Linked DNA regions of Arabidopsis thaliana. The protein of the gene in region 1 interacts with the protein of each later gene in a pairwise test. Each region holds a gene or a part of one and is shown in the gene's direction. Other genes may lie near its edges.

Region 1 (5,249 bases):
GAAATCACTAAATTAAGATTTTCCACTATACAGTTGTAGTGTCAGGTTTGCCTTCATCTGCGTCCTGGCAAGACCTCAAGGTGATTACACAGTTGTGGACAGATTCCTCATTGTCGTTCCTATATTTTCTACGATTTCTGAATGTTGACATATCACTTTGTTTTGAAGGATCACATGCGTAAAGGAGGAGAAGTTTGTTTTTCTCAAGTGTTTCGTGATGGTAGAGGTAAATCCTCATGTCTTACCCAAGAATAGAGATGTGTCTAAAGCTGTTTGGGTTTTCTGCCTTTAAATCCTGTTTTAACTAGTCTGTGCATGCTTTAAAAAATCTATATCGTGGACTATTTATTTACAGGTACAACTGGAATTGTAGATTATACCAGCTACGAGGACATGAAATATGCGGTGAGATGTTTTTCTTCCTCTTCATATTATTTGATTTTCTGTGTGGGACTGTGGCTGAGAATGTGTTCATCCTTGATTACTCATGATTATATTCTTTATTTTGTCCAGATAAAAAAAGCTCGATGACACAGAGTTTCGGAATGCGTTTTCTCATGAATATGTTCGGGTATGTTAAAGACAAGAATTCTGAGAGCTGCATTCGTTTTTATTGCACTTAACATTTCCCTATGTCATTACAGGTTAGAGAATATGATTCAAGGAGGGATTCGAGGAGCCCCAGCCGTGGAAGATCCTATTCTAAGAGCCGCAGCCGTGGACGGAGTCCCAGCCGTAGTCGTAGCCGCAGCAGAAGCAGGAGCAAGAGCAGAAGTCCAAAGGCTAAATCTTTGCGTAGATCGCCTGCAAAATCTACATCGAGATCTCCTCGCTCTCGCTCCCGCTCTAAGTCGAGGTCACTGTCTCCACGAGGGTATGCTTCATTTCTTCTATAATGTTTATGCTAAAATATCCAACATAAAACATAACATAGGCTCTATTTAGCTCTTCCCTTGAAGTTTGGTGACATCACATTAAAAGATGTCACTGGGATGACTCCGAGTTGTTGATTGAGAATGATGATTGCTTCTAGTTAAGGGTACACGATTTATTTCCTTTGAAAGTCTGGTCTTTTATAATTATAGTGTTGAGAATGGTTTTGTTTCTTAGATATGGATATACATACAATCAACTAAAATATGGGAAATAGTATCTGGATCATGGATGTCTTGGTTGGTTGTACACAACTGTTTCGTCTCAGAGGTATATGCTCTTTCTTAGATGGGCAAGTTCGTTTTCTGATAATATCCATTGCTGCTAGATGGGTAACAGTGGAGAGACATTGGATCGCATTGATATAGTGTCATCAAAATGGACCCATCGAGCTAGGACAGATATTTTCATTACCTGCTAATCGACAAGCGATCTGGATTCTCATGGAACCGATGCTGTTCTGGACACAGGGTTTGATAGAATTAGATTTGCTTTGATATTCTCCATCTCTACCATCTGTTTTAACGAAAAGCAGGCTTGTGTTGGTTTGATTTTCTGCTAGAAATAGTCTGAAGATATGTTTTTTTCTTTTTTGCTTCTTGTGATTGTGTTTTGATGTCTGACATGGAATGAGGCATCAAGGGTCTTGGTGAAACAGCTATTAAACACGGAAATATTGGATTTTTAAAACTGGATTTGTTTCTCGGACTTTTGCAGATCTCGTTCAAGGTCAAGATCTCCTCTACCCTCTCTAAGTCATCTATCTCTAATACACTTTTTACTCCGCTATACTATCAGCACAATATTTTCGGTTTTCAATCCATACTATCCAAAAGACATGATCTATGTCTAGCTAATTACATTCTCATCATCTGGATTGAATTGTGTGTGTTGCAGGTTCAGAAGGAAGCAAGTAAGAGCCCTAGCAAGCAGCTGAGCCCTATCCGTGGTAGGAGCAAGAGCAGAAGCAGGAGTCCATCTCGGTAATGCACACTCTTTTTAACTTGCTTGGAACATTCTCACTCTTTCTCTGAATCTCTTTCCAACTGTTTTACAGGTAAAGAAACATCTCATATCAGGTAAAAAGCTGGGTCTGTTGGAAGATTCTCATAAAGATGATCTCTCTTATGTATGAGAAGTTGAAAAACTAGTTGTGTATTTCATTCTTATTAGCTTGGGTTTGCACATGGGAATGATATATACTCAGTCATCATCAGTTTATGAGCTAAGCTCAGCTGATTTATATGACTTGCTAATATAGTTAGTGCTTAAAACGAACTATCAAAAATTACTGTCGAATACCAAACTTAATTCAAAAGCTCACAATTCGATATTAAAATTTTGAAAACGTTCACAATAAATGAACCTAAAAAGACATGTGCATTGAACTCATTTTGATACCCGGACCCTTTACATTTTAGTTCAGTCCGTACGATGTCATTTTCGAGAGCTGTTGCGCATTACTTACTTGCCTTTGTGTGGGTGTTAGTGAATCTGTGACCCACCTTAAGAACAGTTAAGACTATTCCCGGTTTACGCGTACCGGACCCATAACAGTATAAGTGAATTTGGATAAGAAAGGAGCCGCCTAGAGAGAAGAAGGCGATCCATGGCGGAATCTGTCTTCTCTTGTATACCAGAAGACGTAGTCTTCAACATCTTCTTCAAGCTCCAAGATGATCCAAGAAACTGGGCTCGTCTCGCTTGCGTCTGCACCAAATTCTCCTCAATTGTTCGAAACGTTTGTTGTAAAACTCAGTGCTACTCCGCTATCCCCACCGTCATCTCCGATCTCCTCCCTCTTCCTCCCTCCGCCGCCGCATCCGCTTCTTCATCCACCGCGGCGGATTCGTCTCTTACTCCTCCCGGTGGTTGGGCTTCTTTATACAAACTCGCTGTTTGTTGTCCTGGTCTCTTCCACGCTGGAATTCTCCTCGAAAACTCCGATTTCGGTTTAGAACGTGAGCTAGGTCCCGATCAAAACCTCGATCCGAAACCTACTACGACGGATCTAGCTCTTAACGACGAAGAAGTTTCGAAACCAGTTGGATCTGGTTTAGAAACGACTTCGTTTTGGTCTCTATATGATGATCTCTACACAGATACTATTCCCGCTCCTCCTCCCGAAGATTCAATCGACGATCAAGAAGAAGAAATCGAAACGAGTGAGATCAGACCTGGACGAGATCTTCCGGTAAGGAAACGAAGGAAGATTTGTCGATCTCTAGGATCTCATTTAGCTTCCGGTGGCTGGAACCTTAGCCGTGAACAAGGCAACAAGCTTCTCGCGAGTAGATTCCGAGGTGATTGTCTCTACATTTGCAATTGGCCTGGGTGTATTCACGTAGAAGAGAAACGAAATTACATGTTGTTTAGAGGAGTCTTCAAGGATTTCAAAAGGTCTAGAGTTTGGAGAACGATAAACGACGGTAATCGGAGTAAGACCTCGGGTTTGAAATGCGCGTTTTGTTTGTGCGATGAGACTTGGGATTTGCATTCATCGTTTTGTTTGAGAAGAGTGTTTGGGTTTCATGATGATGGTGAACCAGTTGTGAGAGCTTATGTTTGTGAGAATGGTCATGTCTCTGGTGCTTGGACTGCTTTACCTCTCTACACTTGATAGCTCACTAGAGAGGACAGGTCTTTCATTCTTCTTCCACGGTCTCAAGTCTCAATCTTGTTTGATGTATTTGTAGGAATAGTGTCATTGTGTTTCAAATTCTGGTTAATGTTTAAGTAATGGTTGAAGAAAATTGGCTCAACATATTGTGGTTGTTTTGTTTCAATGTTGACAACATATTAGACTTCGATTCAAATGCATAAACTCTTACGTCAAAGCCAAAAATTTCAAGTCCAAGAACATTTGGAAACAATATAACCCAAAACAAAAGGTAGAAGAAACTTAAACCAAGATCAAATCCATAGAAAGAAAACAGAGTACCAACAACATTCATATAAAAGAGGAAGTAATTCAGAGGGTTTCATAAACCTGAAAAGCTAATAATACCATATGGTTTTTCATCATCTCTAGAACAGAGTCTTCACTTGTCTTCCTTAACAGATGTTGTTTCTTCTGCCGCTGGTGCCTTCTCTGTCGCAAGACCTTCCTCCTTAACGGCATCATCCTTCTTGTCTCCTGATTTTGCTGTCTCTTCTGCAATTTACAGAAAATGTTTCATTACTTCAAAATTCTGCATTTTGTTGAGGAACAAAGAAACACAAAAATCTGCAAAATGTTTCCTAAGACAGAGTACTTGGCATATCATATGGAATATGAGATACTTCAATAACAAAGTCAATCAACTCTGGCGAAATGCTTTCATTTCAAGGAGGCTGTGACCAAACATAAACGAGAAAGATCTTCAAAAGTATTACCTTCATCATCACTGTCTTCAAACTCTTCCATGCCTCCCATACCACCCATGCCTCCCATTCCACCCATGCCTCCCATTCCACCGAGCCCTTCGAGTCCGCCCATTCCACCCATTCCACCCATTCCACCCATTAATTTCTGCACGAAGCAAGGATCAAGTATGAGGTCATTTCTCAGAGCTAGGTATATCTGAAGCACAAAATGAAGGACAATCAAAAGTTAGAAACAAACCGAGAAATCCATTCCTTCCATTCCTCCCATTCCACCCATTCCTCCCATTCCACCCATTCCTCCCATGCCGCCCATGCCTCCCATTCCTCCCATTCCTTCCATTCCTGCCATATCCATATCTGCGGCACCTAAACATAACATAGAAAACAAATAAGTTAACACATCCTGAACTTTATATAAAGTGCAGAGAGTGTACACAAGAACAGATAATATAAGCGTTAAGATGAATGCTAACCAGCACTGCCTTCATCGTCCTCATCAACCCACTTGTCCCAATCAACCTTGACATAGTGTGGGGGCTTCTTCACACGGAGTAGCTTATTCCACCTTTCCGGCTCTGCTTTCTCAATTATGCAGAATATGCTTCTCTCTCCAATGTTGATTTTGCTTTCCTAAAAGGGAAAAAGGTTAAAAGATTTAAGAACTAAACAGGTAACAAATGAAACAATAAGACCAAGTCAGCCTACAAATTCTCACCTCAACATTGACTTTATCGGCAAGTTCCAGTTTGAGCTCATAAACGTGGTTTTCTGGACCAACTTTCGCAGAGAAATCAAAGACTCCTTCTGGGTCTAGGTTAACCTTGGTATCCTTAGTATCAGCTAATACTACAGTGAGGAAAATCTTCTCGGTAGTCTCAGCCCACTTCACTTCAGGATGACGACTGTAAAATACATGAAAAGCAATCACCTTTTAGACCAAAAACATAACA
Region 2 (3,875 bases), on another chromosome or scaffold:
GAACAAAAGGAGTATATTAGTATATTGCTAAAGAAGTTTCTAGAAATATATATATCTTCCACTAAACCCTAGTTAAAATAGGATTTGAGTCTATTTTCCTTATTTCTTTGTGAGAAAAGGAAACAACATGAAACCCAATATCTAATTGTGAAAAGGAAAACACAATTGACTGAATCTTAGGGTTCTATAAATAGACTGATTCAACAATCTCTCATCAAAATTTCTCTTCACAAACAATTGACTCTTGTTTTTCGTTCAACACACAAAGCAAAAAACAATGTCTTCGAAAAAGATTGTGTTGACAAGCTCCGATGGTGAATCTTTCAAGGTTGAAGAAGTGGTGGCAAGAAAACTGCAGATCGTAGGACACATTATCGAAGACGACTGTGCTACAAACAAAATCCCTATTCCAAACGTTACCGGAGAGATTCTCGCCAAGGTTATCGAGTACTGCAAGAAACACGTTGAAGACGATGATGACGTGGTGGAGACGCATGAATCATCGACGAAAGGAGATAAAACAGTTGAGGAGGCGAAGAAGAAGCCTGATGATGTGGCCGTACCTGAATCAACTGAAGGAGATGATGAAGCTGAGGATAAGAAGGAGAAGCTTAATGAGTGGGATGCAAAGTTCATGAAGGATTTCGATATTAAGACGATCTTCGACATTATTCTGGCTGCTAACTATCTCAACGTCCAAGGTCTTTTTGATCTCTGTAGCAAGACCATTGCAGATTACATAAAAGATATGACGCCAGAGGAAGTTCGAGAACTCTTTAACATCGAGAATGATTTCACACCTGAAGAAGAAGAAGCAATTCGCAATGAAAACGCTTGGACTTTTGAGCAAGATGGAAAACAACAAGTTCCAAAACCCTAGCTTTTTGCTTCGTTTCTTTTTTCTTTTTTCCTTTTACATGTATGATTTGTTTCTGTTTTCTCAAGTGTGTGTGGGATTGATTGGTCTCTTTAATTTCGTTGTTAAGTCTTTCTTTACTTAATTGACCAATTTTCTTGCACTATTATGATGAATGATGATCAATAAATATGCTTTAGCTTTAGCTATCTTTTAGAGTGAAGCGGATTAAATCTCAACTAATGAATCGTCCACCAAAATTATGAAAAAATTAAAGAGAATCGTCCACCCAAATCCTCCGGCAATTCCGAATTCTTTCTCCGGTTGTAACGTAGTAAAAAAAAGTCGCCGCCGTTAAAAAACTTCCTATTATTTTCTCTTTTTCTTAAAATTATTAGTTCGTATGAATCAAAGTTTTTCTTTTTTTCTTTTCTTATGCTAGTTATCAAGAATTTCTTATATACAAACATGTATATATATTTACGAGGTTATTTATGATTTTTCTTAGAACAATTTATTTTTTTATGTACTGTTTTGATCGAGGCTCGAATCTAGCTAGATCAATAGAGATTATTTAATTTGAGATTTACTCTTCTAATTAGTAGTTATTCAAATAAAAGTAGAAAATTAAAACCTAATAAACTAAAAGAACGCAACTGATTACAAAACTTAATTTATAGACTCTTATCCTATAATTAGATTAATAATTAATCAATTAAATTCAATTCTAAGTAAGATGGACAAATTAATTAAATAAATAAAATGTCATACAAAATTTTCATAGAAAATAGCCATGTTTAGGAAAAAAACTCTTTTTGTATGTTAAATAAGTTTCTAGAATCTCCTGATAAACTCTTTTACTAAGACGTCGGTTTTTACTTTTAAGCCCAAAAGTTTTAAGGCTAAACACTAGAGATTTGGAAGATTTGCTTTTCTTCTCTTCCAGTATTGTGAAAAGGAAAACACAATTGACCGACTCTTAAAATATTTTATAAATAGACGCCTTCATCGACTCCTCTCTATTCCATTCAATATCTTTGCATAAATCATAACCAATATTATTCTTTTCATCACCCAAAATCTCAAAAACGAACAAACATGTCTTCCAACAAGATTGTTTTGTCTAGCTCCGATGGCGAATCTTTCGAGGTTGAAGAAGCGGTGGCAAGAAAACTGAAAATCGTGGAACACATGATTGAAGACGACTGTGTTGTTACCGAGGTCCCTCTTCAAAACGTCACCGGAAAGATCCTCTCCATTGTTGTCGAGTATTGCAAGAAACACGTCGTTGACGAAGAAAGCGACGAGTTCAAGACTTGGGACGAAGAGTTCATGAAGAAATTTGATCAGCCTACGGTCTTCCAACTCTTGCTCGCTGCTAACTATCTCAATATCAAAGGCCTTCTTGATCTCTCTGCTCAAACCGTTGCAGATCGCATCAAAGATAAGACTCCAGAGGAAATTCGAGAAATCTTCAACATCGAGAACGATTTCACACCCGAAGAAGAAGCAGCGGTTCGCAAGGAAAACGCATGGGCTTTTGAATAGACACCAAAACCCTAGTTTTTGGTTTCGTTTCTTATTGTCGGTTTTAGGGTTTTGATGACTTTCGTCTCTCTTTTTTTTTTGGTTTTCCATATTTCGATTTCGTGAATGATTTTATATTTTGGCTTATTCAAGTGGTGTGATTGATGACTTTGATTTCGTTGTTAGTTCTTTACCTTACTCTCTATTATGGTGATCAATAAATAGATGCTTTAGCAATCTTGTTCGTTTTAGAGTGAAAATCGAATCGTCCACTAAAAACCTCCGGCGATTCGGAATCTTCTCCGGCGTAGAATAGAACATAATATCGCCGCCGTTCTCTTTTTTTTGTTGGGAACTAAATGATTGGCCCTGCCTAGGGTTTCTCCGTATCTTTGAATATCCTTCTTAATTTGTTTATTAAACTATATAATAGCGATAAGAAATTACTATTTATTTTTAGGCTCCTATTTAATATTTATATATAGTTATACGTACAAAATAATTTAGTTTATATTATTATTATTTATTTTTTTCCTTTTCCTTCCCAAATCTAGGATGGGAATAAAATACTTCGTTTTAATATTCTTTTTTTTCTTTTCGGGTTGATAATTGAGAGGTTAAGATTTTCTTAGAGCGATTTATTATTTTATGATATTAAAATATACGGACGATATACTGAAAGAAAATTCATGCGAGAGGATGTTAATATGCAAATTAATACTATTCAGTTGAATTTTGCCATGCAATCTTTTTGGTCGTAAATTTTGTTGAAAACTTATCCAATCTCATATGAAGCGTCCCAAGGCCCATATCAACACTTATTACGTAGAAAACATCATAAAGCGAGAGAAAAAGAGAGAGAGGCAGAGAGATAGGAGCGTATGGGCTTTCTTTTTTGTTTTGTCAAACAACTTTAATTTACTTAAAACCTAAAAGAGGGATGTTCATACAAATAGAAACTGAAAAAAACACAAAAGGAGGAGAGATAATGGCTCCATGAGTTTTTCAAAAAGATGCTCATCTTTAAAGAGTTTGCAAAGATTAAAAAATCTGTTGAAGCAAAAATTGGGTTCGCCCATAAAGACAGACTTCACAAATTCCTCGACCACCATGTGGTTATAGATGGCTCGAGCGAACAACGCATACAAGCTTTTAAGAAAACGTTCCACGGAAGAAGCTGCCGGATAAGAGAGATTGTCGAAGATTCGGTAACTACTTCTCCTTGGAGATGCAGTCAAAATGCCGTTATTCTTCAAACTTTGAAAGGTTTGCAAATTGATCAAGAGCTTGTCGAGCCTAAAGAGTTGCTCACCTTAAGAATTACTAAAGATTGCTTTATAATCCTAGAAAAACCACCAATCGCAGATGTTGTGTAATGTCATATACATGAGCTCAGAATTCAGAGGAAATGGATTTAAAGGATTGAGAAAACTTCGGTAATCATCGTTCCGTAAAGACGGGCTCATAATGCTGAATTTCTTCAAGCTTTTGG
Region 3 (4,722 bases), on another chromosome or scaffold:
ACTGCATCTATACAGGTAAATCTACTTGTTATGTACTTCTTACTTTCAATAAGATAAAGTAATATATGTTCTTACTCATTTACTATATGTGCAAACTATATAGGGGGTTATATGGGTACAAGATCAGGTGAGTGACTTTCAAAGATACTTAGAAAAGTTAAACCAACAAGTTGGAGATGCAGCTAAAGTCAAAGAGATTATAGCCAATGCTGTGATTCTAGTGTCTGCTGGTAATAACGATCTTGCCATCACATATTTTTCAACTCCGAAGAGACAAACGAGATACACTGTCCAAGCATACACTGATATGCTCATCGGTTGGAAAACTACCTTCATAAATGTATACAACACACATTTATTTATAACTTTTTTTCTTCATAATATTGTTCTACCTATAATGATTATTTTGTATGAATAACAGAGTCTATATGATCTAGGAGCTAGAAAATTTGCAATTCTTGGAACGTTACCGTTAGGGTGTTTGCCAGGGGCGAGACAAATTACCGGAAATTTGATATGTCTTCCGAATGTAAACTATGGTGCTAGAGTTTATAATGACAAAGTAGCTAACTTGGTCAATCAGTACAACCAAAGGCTTCCCAATGGCAAATTCGTCTACATCGATATGTATAACTCACTTCTTGAGGTCATCAATAATCCTAGCCAATACGGTAAAACATTGAGTAACACACGCAAATTTTGAATATATATGGTAGAAAAAACAAGGGTGCTAATTTCTACATTGTAATACATTTCAGGGTTTACGACGGCAAAACCATGTTGTTGCTCGGTGATGACTCCGATTCCGTGTTTAAGATCTGGTAGTCACGTGTTCTGGGACTTTGCCCATCCTTCTGAAAAAGCCTATAAAACTGTTCTACCTTAGATCCTCAGTACCATCCAAAGCAACCTCGCCTAGTCACTAATTTTCTCTTTCTTTTTTATATTTAGACATGAGAACCATGAACCTTGGTTTGAATATGATTAGTTCCTCGATCGACGATGAGCCGCTTGTAGGTCTCTATTGTTAAGCTTGATTTATGTGTTCTCATCAATTAATCAGAATCAGTGATAATTTCATTTGCAATAATTTTGGTGCTTCTTAGTTTACCAAACCAGAAAAGTTATGTGTTTGGAAAAGAAGAAAAAAATACTAGAAGAAGATAAAAGATTTCCATCCAACACAAATACAAAGATCAACAAATGAGAGAAATACAACACAAATAAATATGTTATTAATTTTGGTTTGTTTAGTGTAACGCAATATTTTTCCCAAAAATTGTGGTGTTTGTTACCTACTTTTTACATTTTCCTTGATATTCACTACAAAATACCCAAATAATAATTCATAATTTCACATAGATTTTTACATACAAACGTGGAGGTTTTCTTTGATTAAAACATAAAAACCCTAGTCAATGATTTTTGCACACGTAGATAAACTGTATTTTCTGAAATCAGATGTAAATCTGAAAAAGTAAATATTATTAACGGAATACAGCTAAGGTGAAGTTTGTGGAAAAGTAAAAATATTTACTTTATTTAAAACAACATAAATTTTCCATTTTTTAAAAACTTAAATTTCCAATATTTGTTTTACTTTTTACTGTTCTCCTATTAGTAAAAGGAGTAGATTAACTTAAAAGCAATAAGCCGGCAAAAAAAAAAAAACTTAAAAGCAATAAACCGACTTGAATACCAATTAAGAAATTGGCTATAAATAAGGCTCCAACTTCCCAAACCTTGACACCATCACAACAATCAATCGCAGCGCCGATTCTCCTTCAAAAACTTTTCCTAAGTCGTCACTTTTTACGATGGCAGAAACGAAGAAGATGATCATCCTTAAGAGCTCCGACGGTGAATCCTTCGAGATCGAGGAAGCCGTCGCTGTTAAGTCCCAGACGATTAAGCACATGATTGAGGACGACTGTGCCGATAACGGAATTCCACTTCCCAATGTCACCGGAGCCATCCTCGCCAAGGTTATTGAGTATTGCAAGAAGCACGTTGAAGCCGCTGCTGAAGCTGGTGGAGACAAGGATTTCTATGGTTCCGCTGAGAACGACGAGCTTAAGAATTGGGACAGCGAATTCGTCAAAGTCGATCAGCCTACTCTCTTCGATCTCATCTTGGTTAGTAAAGTCGCTTTCATTGTTTAGGTTTGATGTTGTTAGAATTAGGGTTTTTAATTTGGGGATTTAGGTTTGATTTTGCAGGATTCTGTTAGGGTTTTAGTGTGTTGAATGTCGTTTTGATTTGACTAATCGTTTTGGTTCTTTGGTTTGTACAGGCTGCGAACTATTTGAACATCGGTGGACTTCTTGACCTTACGTGCAAGGCCGTGGCTGATCAGATGAGAGGCAAAACTCCAGAGCAGATGCGTGCACACTTCAACATCAAGAACGATTACACACCTGAGGAAGAGGCGGAGGTTCGCAATGAGAACAAGTGGGCGTTCGAGTGATTGGATCGGATCTGAAGGGTGTTTAGGAATCTCTAGTCTTTCTATTTAGATGTGTTTAGCTTTCAAGATTTCGGATTGTTTTTTTTTTCTTTCTTTTTCTCTTCGATTGGAGTTGTCCTTGTCGATGAAAACCTAATGCTTTGTTCTACTAACAACATCTATTGGTTTTTATGAGAAATATTTGAGAGAAAGTGTTGGTCTTGCTTAATCTTTTTGCTCTTTATACATGAATGTGTTCTCTTTAGATTATCGTTAACGTTCGCTATCGTTGTCGTCTTTGCTGGTTACAACGAATGGACTTCTCACATTGTACATTCCGTTAGACCATGTTATAGATCCAAACGCATCGTCCTTGAGTATTGTTGTAGTAGATGAAAAGATCACTTGGTAGCTGAGTTTATCTCCTATCTTCCTGAAGTGTAGCCTTCTTGGTATAACTCTGACTAGTAATCCTTCTGGTGCATCGATACTCACAGTGTAGACTGTATCTTCATCTCCAATGAGGCGTGATGCTACATTTGTCACTGTTCTGCTTACCCTTCTGCTTTCTTTTCCATTGAAGTTAGAAATCGAGATTGATGGGTAGTTGATGTTAGATATGTCTCCCCTGTTGCTTTGTTCAGGACAAGCAAAACCTTGTGGTATGCGGTTTGATATCTTTTTGATCTGATCAGATGTAAATCCATAGTAGCCGAGGAAGTTTAGGTAGTCCATGTGATTGGTTTCATAAATCAGTCCTGGTGATGAAGGTCCAAATATAGTAACCTGCCCAGCACCAAAGTCATAAGGTGTGGCCTTTTCTCCTGTTTCTGTAGTTATATGGGAACCTGTGTTGGTCATTTGCACGGCTGCAGATACAGTTGACTTGGGTTAACTCTAGCTGATCAATCATCCGTAACTGGTATCTACTTGATTTTGATTTCTCACCTGTTGTCATGATGGCAGATCTGATTGCTGCAGGACTCCATGAAGGGTATCTGGATTTGAGACGAGCAGCAATCCCGGAGACATGGGGACATGACATTGAAGTCCCTGATTCAATGTTGAAGAGTGGCGGTGGCTTGCCTTCTGGTGCTGCATTTCTGTCACCGACTAACCACGATGCTAGTATGTTGACCCCTGGTGCTGCAATATCAGGCTGTAACAGGTTTATCAATATTTTGTTTTTGAAGTTTCTGTGAATACTGTTGAGATCATGTTTATGATGAATATTAGGGCTTATACCTTGAGGATGCTTCTGGTAAGCAAGTAAGGACCTCTTGATGAGAAGGATGGTATGGATGGAGCTAACATGTGTCCTGTTCGTGATCTTGTAGGCATGATTGTTGCAATTGGTTCTCTACAATATGGATTATGATATATTAGTTCTGTTTTTTTTTTTTTTTTGGGTAAAAATATTATTATTAGTTCTGTTTGAAAGCAATGTCTTGTGAAATGAGACATCTTAAACCTTGTTGAATTTATGTAGGACATGATTTGTATGCCGTCCTCTGGTTTTATTATTGTCACTAGAAAGGAGGGATCAATAAAAGACAGATCCATTGACTCGTCATCAACAAGTACCATACCGATACCTCCAAGTCTCTTAACCTCGTCGCTTTTCCACTGGATCACCTGGTTATCAAGATCACTGTCACACACAACAATCTTTCCCTTAACAATGGTTTGGTCTAGTGTATCAGGTGCGCAGTTCCTGAAGGTTTGCAGTTGTGTTGTCTTGTTAGTATAGGTATAGCAAAGTTACTCTATAATTTTACGAGGCAACTATTACCTAGCAGCTTCCTCATTAGCATCAATCTTCTTGGCTGATCGTGCGTGTATAAGTGGGTAAGCCTGTGTTTTATCGATATTGGCAATATTTATTCCAAAACCCTGCAAAAGAAATTCTTTAAGATGTTATGTGAATGGAGATTTGTCCGTTGATTGGCTTTTCCTTCTTACCTCGATTAATCTGTTTTCATCTCCTCCCAGAAGAATGTTGGACTCAAAGCCACGGTCAATAGTGCTGGCAGCAACAGTGATCATCCATGGAGCAGCATTAAACACACTTTGACTCGATGGGCCAGAATTTCCTACAGAGCAAACAACAGTGATCCCTCTTTCCACGGCATGAAATGACCCGATGGAAAGCGGATCTTCAAGTAAATTGTCTGGCCATAAGCCCATTGATATGGATATAACATCAACCCCATCTGCGATTGCATCATCAAATGCAGCTAGTATGCTCGAGCCACGACATCCCAGGAGTGAGCACG

The links.
Region 2: the proteins of EID1 (region 1) and SK14 interact in binary tests that used the Arabidopsis thaliana proteins (3 or more experiments, as listed by UniProt).
Region 3: the proteins of EID1 (region 1) and SK4 interact in binary tests that used the Arabidopsis thaliana proteins (3 or more experiments, as listed by UniProt).

Annotation. Positions count from the first base shown.
Region 1 is NC_003075.7:1,070,013-1,075,261, forward strand, and holds EID1 (F-box family protein), read left to right. Parts: upstream 1-2,468; 5' UTR 2,469-2,542; coding exon 2,543-3,553; 3' UTR 3,554-3,767; downstream 3,768-5,249. Other genes in the region: SR34b (RNA-binding (RRM/RBD/RNP motifs) family protein), read left to right, coding at 34-80, 169-226, 356-405, 524-571, 645-874, 1,273-1,354; AT4G02450 (HSP20-like chaperones superfamily protein), read right to left, coding at 3,975-4,087, 4,309-4,444, 4,538-4,665, 4,773-4,929, 5,015-5,201. UniProt on the Arabidopsis thaliana protein: Component of SCF(ASK-cullin-F-box) E3 ubiquitin ligase complexes, which may mediate the ubiquitination and subsequent proteasomal degradation of target proteins.
Region 2 is NC_003071.7:959,368-963,242, forward strand, and holds SK14 (SKP1-like 14), read left to right. Parts: upstream 1-1,940; 5' UTR 1,941-1,954; coding exon 1,955-2,404; downstream 2,405-3,875. Other genes in the region: SK19 (SKP1-like 19), read left to right, coding at 278-880; AT2G03180 (uncharacterized protein), read left to right, coding at 3,397-3,759. UniProt on the Arabidopsis thaliana protein: Involved in ubiquitination and subsequent proteasomal degradation of target proteins. Together with CUL1, RBX1 and a F-box protein, it forms a SCF E3 ubiquitin ligase complex. The functional specificity of this complex depends on the type of F-box protein.
Region 3 is NC_003070.9:6,984,613-6,989,334, forward strand, and holds SK4 (SKP1-like 4), read left to right. Parts: upstream 1-1,699; 5' UTR 1,700-1,817; coding exon 1,818-2,135; intron 2,136-2,293; coding exon 2,294-2,467; 3' UTR 2,468-2,719; downstream 2,720-4,722. Other genes in the region: AT1G20135 (GDSL-like Lipase/Acylhydrolase family protein), read left to right, coding at 1-15, 104-340, 422-671, 759-886; AT1G20150 (Subtilisin-like serine endopeptidase family protein), read right to left, coding at 2,720-3,315, 3,395-3,605, 3,692-3,806, 3,918-4,160, 4,239-4,339, 4,409-4,722. UniProt on the Arabidopsis thaliana protein: Involved in ubiquitination and subsequent proteasomal degradation of target proteins. Together with CUL1, RBX1 and a F-box protein, it forms a SCF E3 ubiquitin ligase complex. The functional specificity of this complex depends on the type of F-box protein.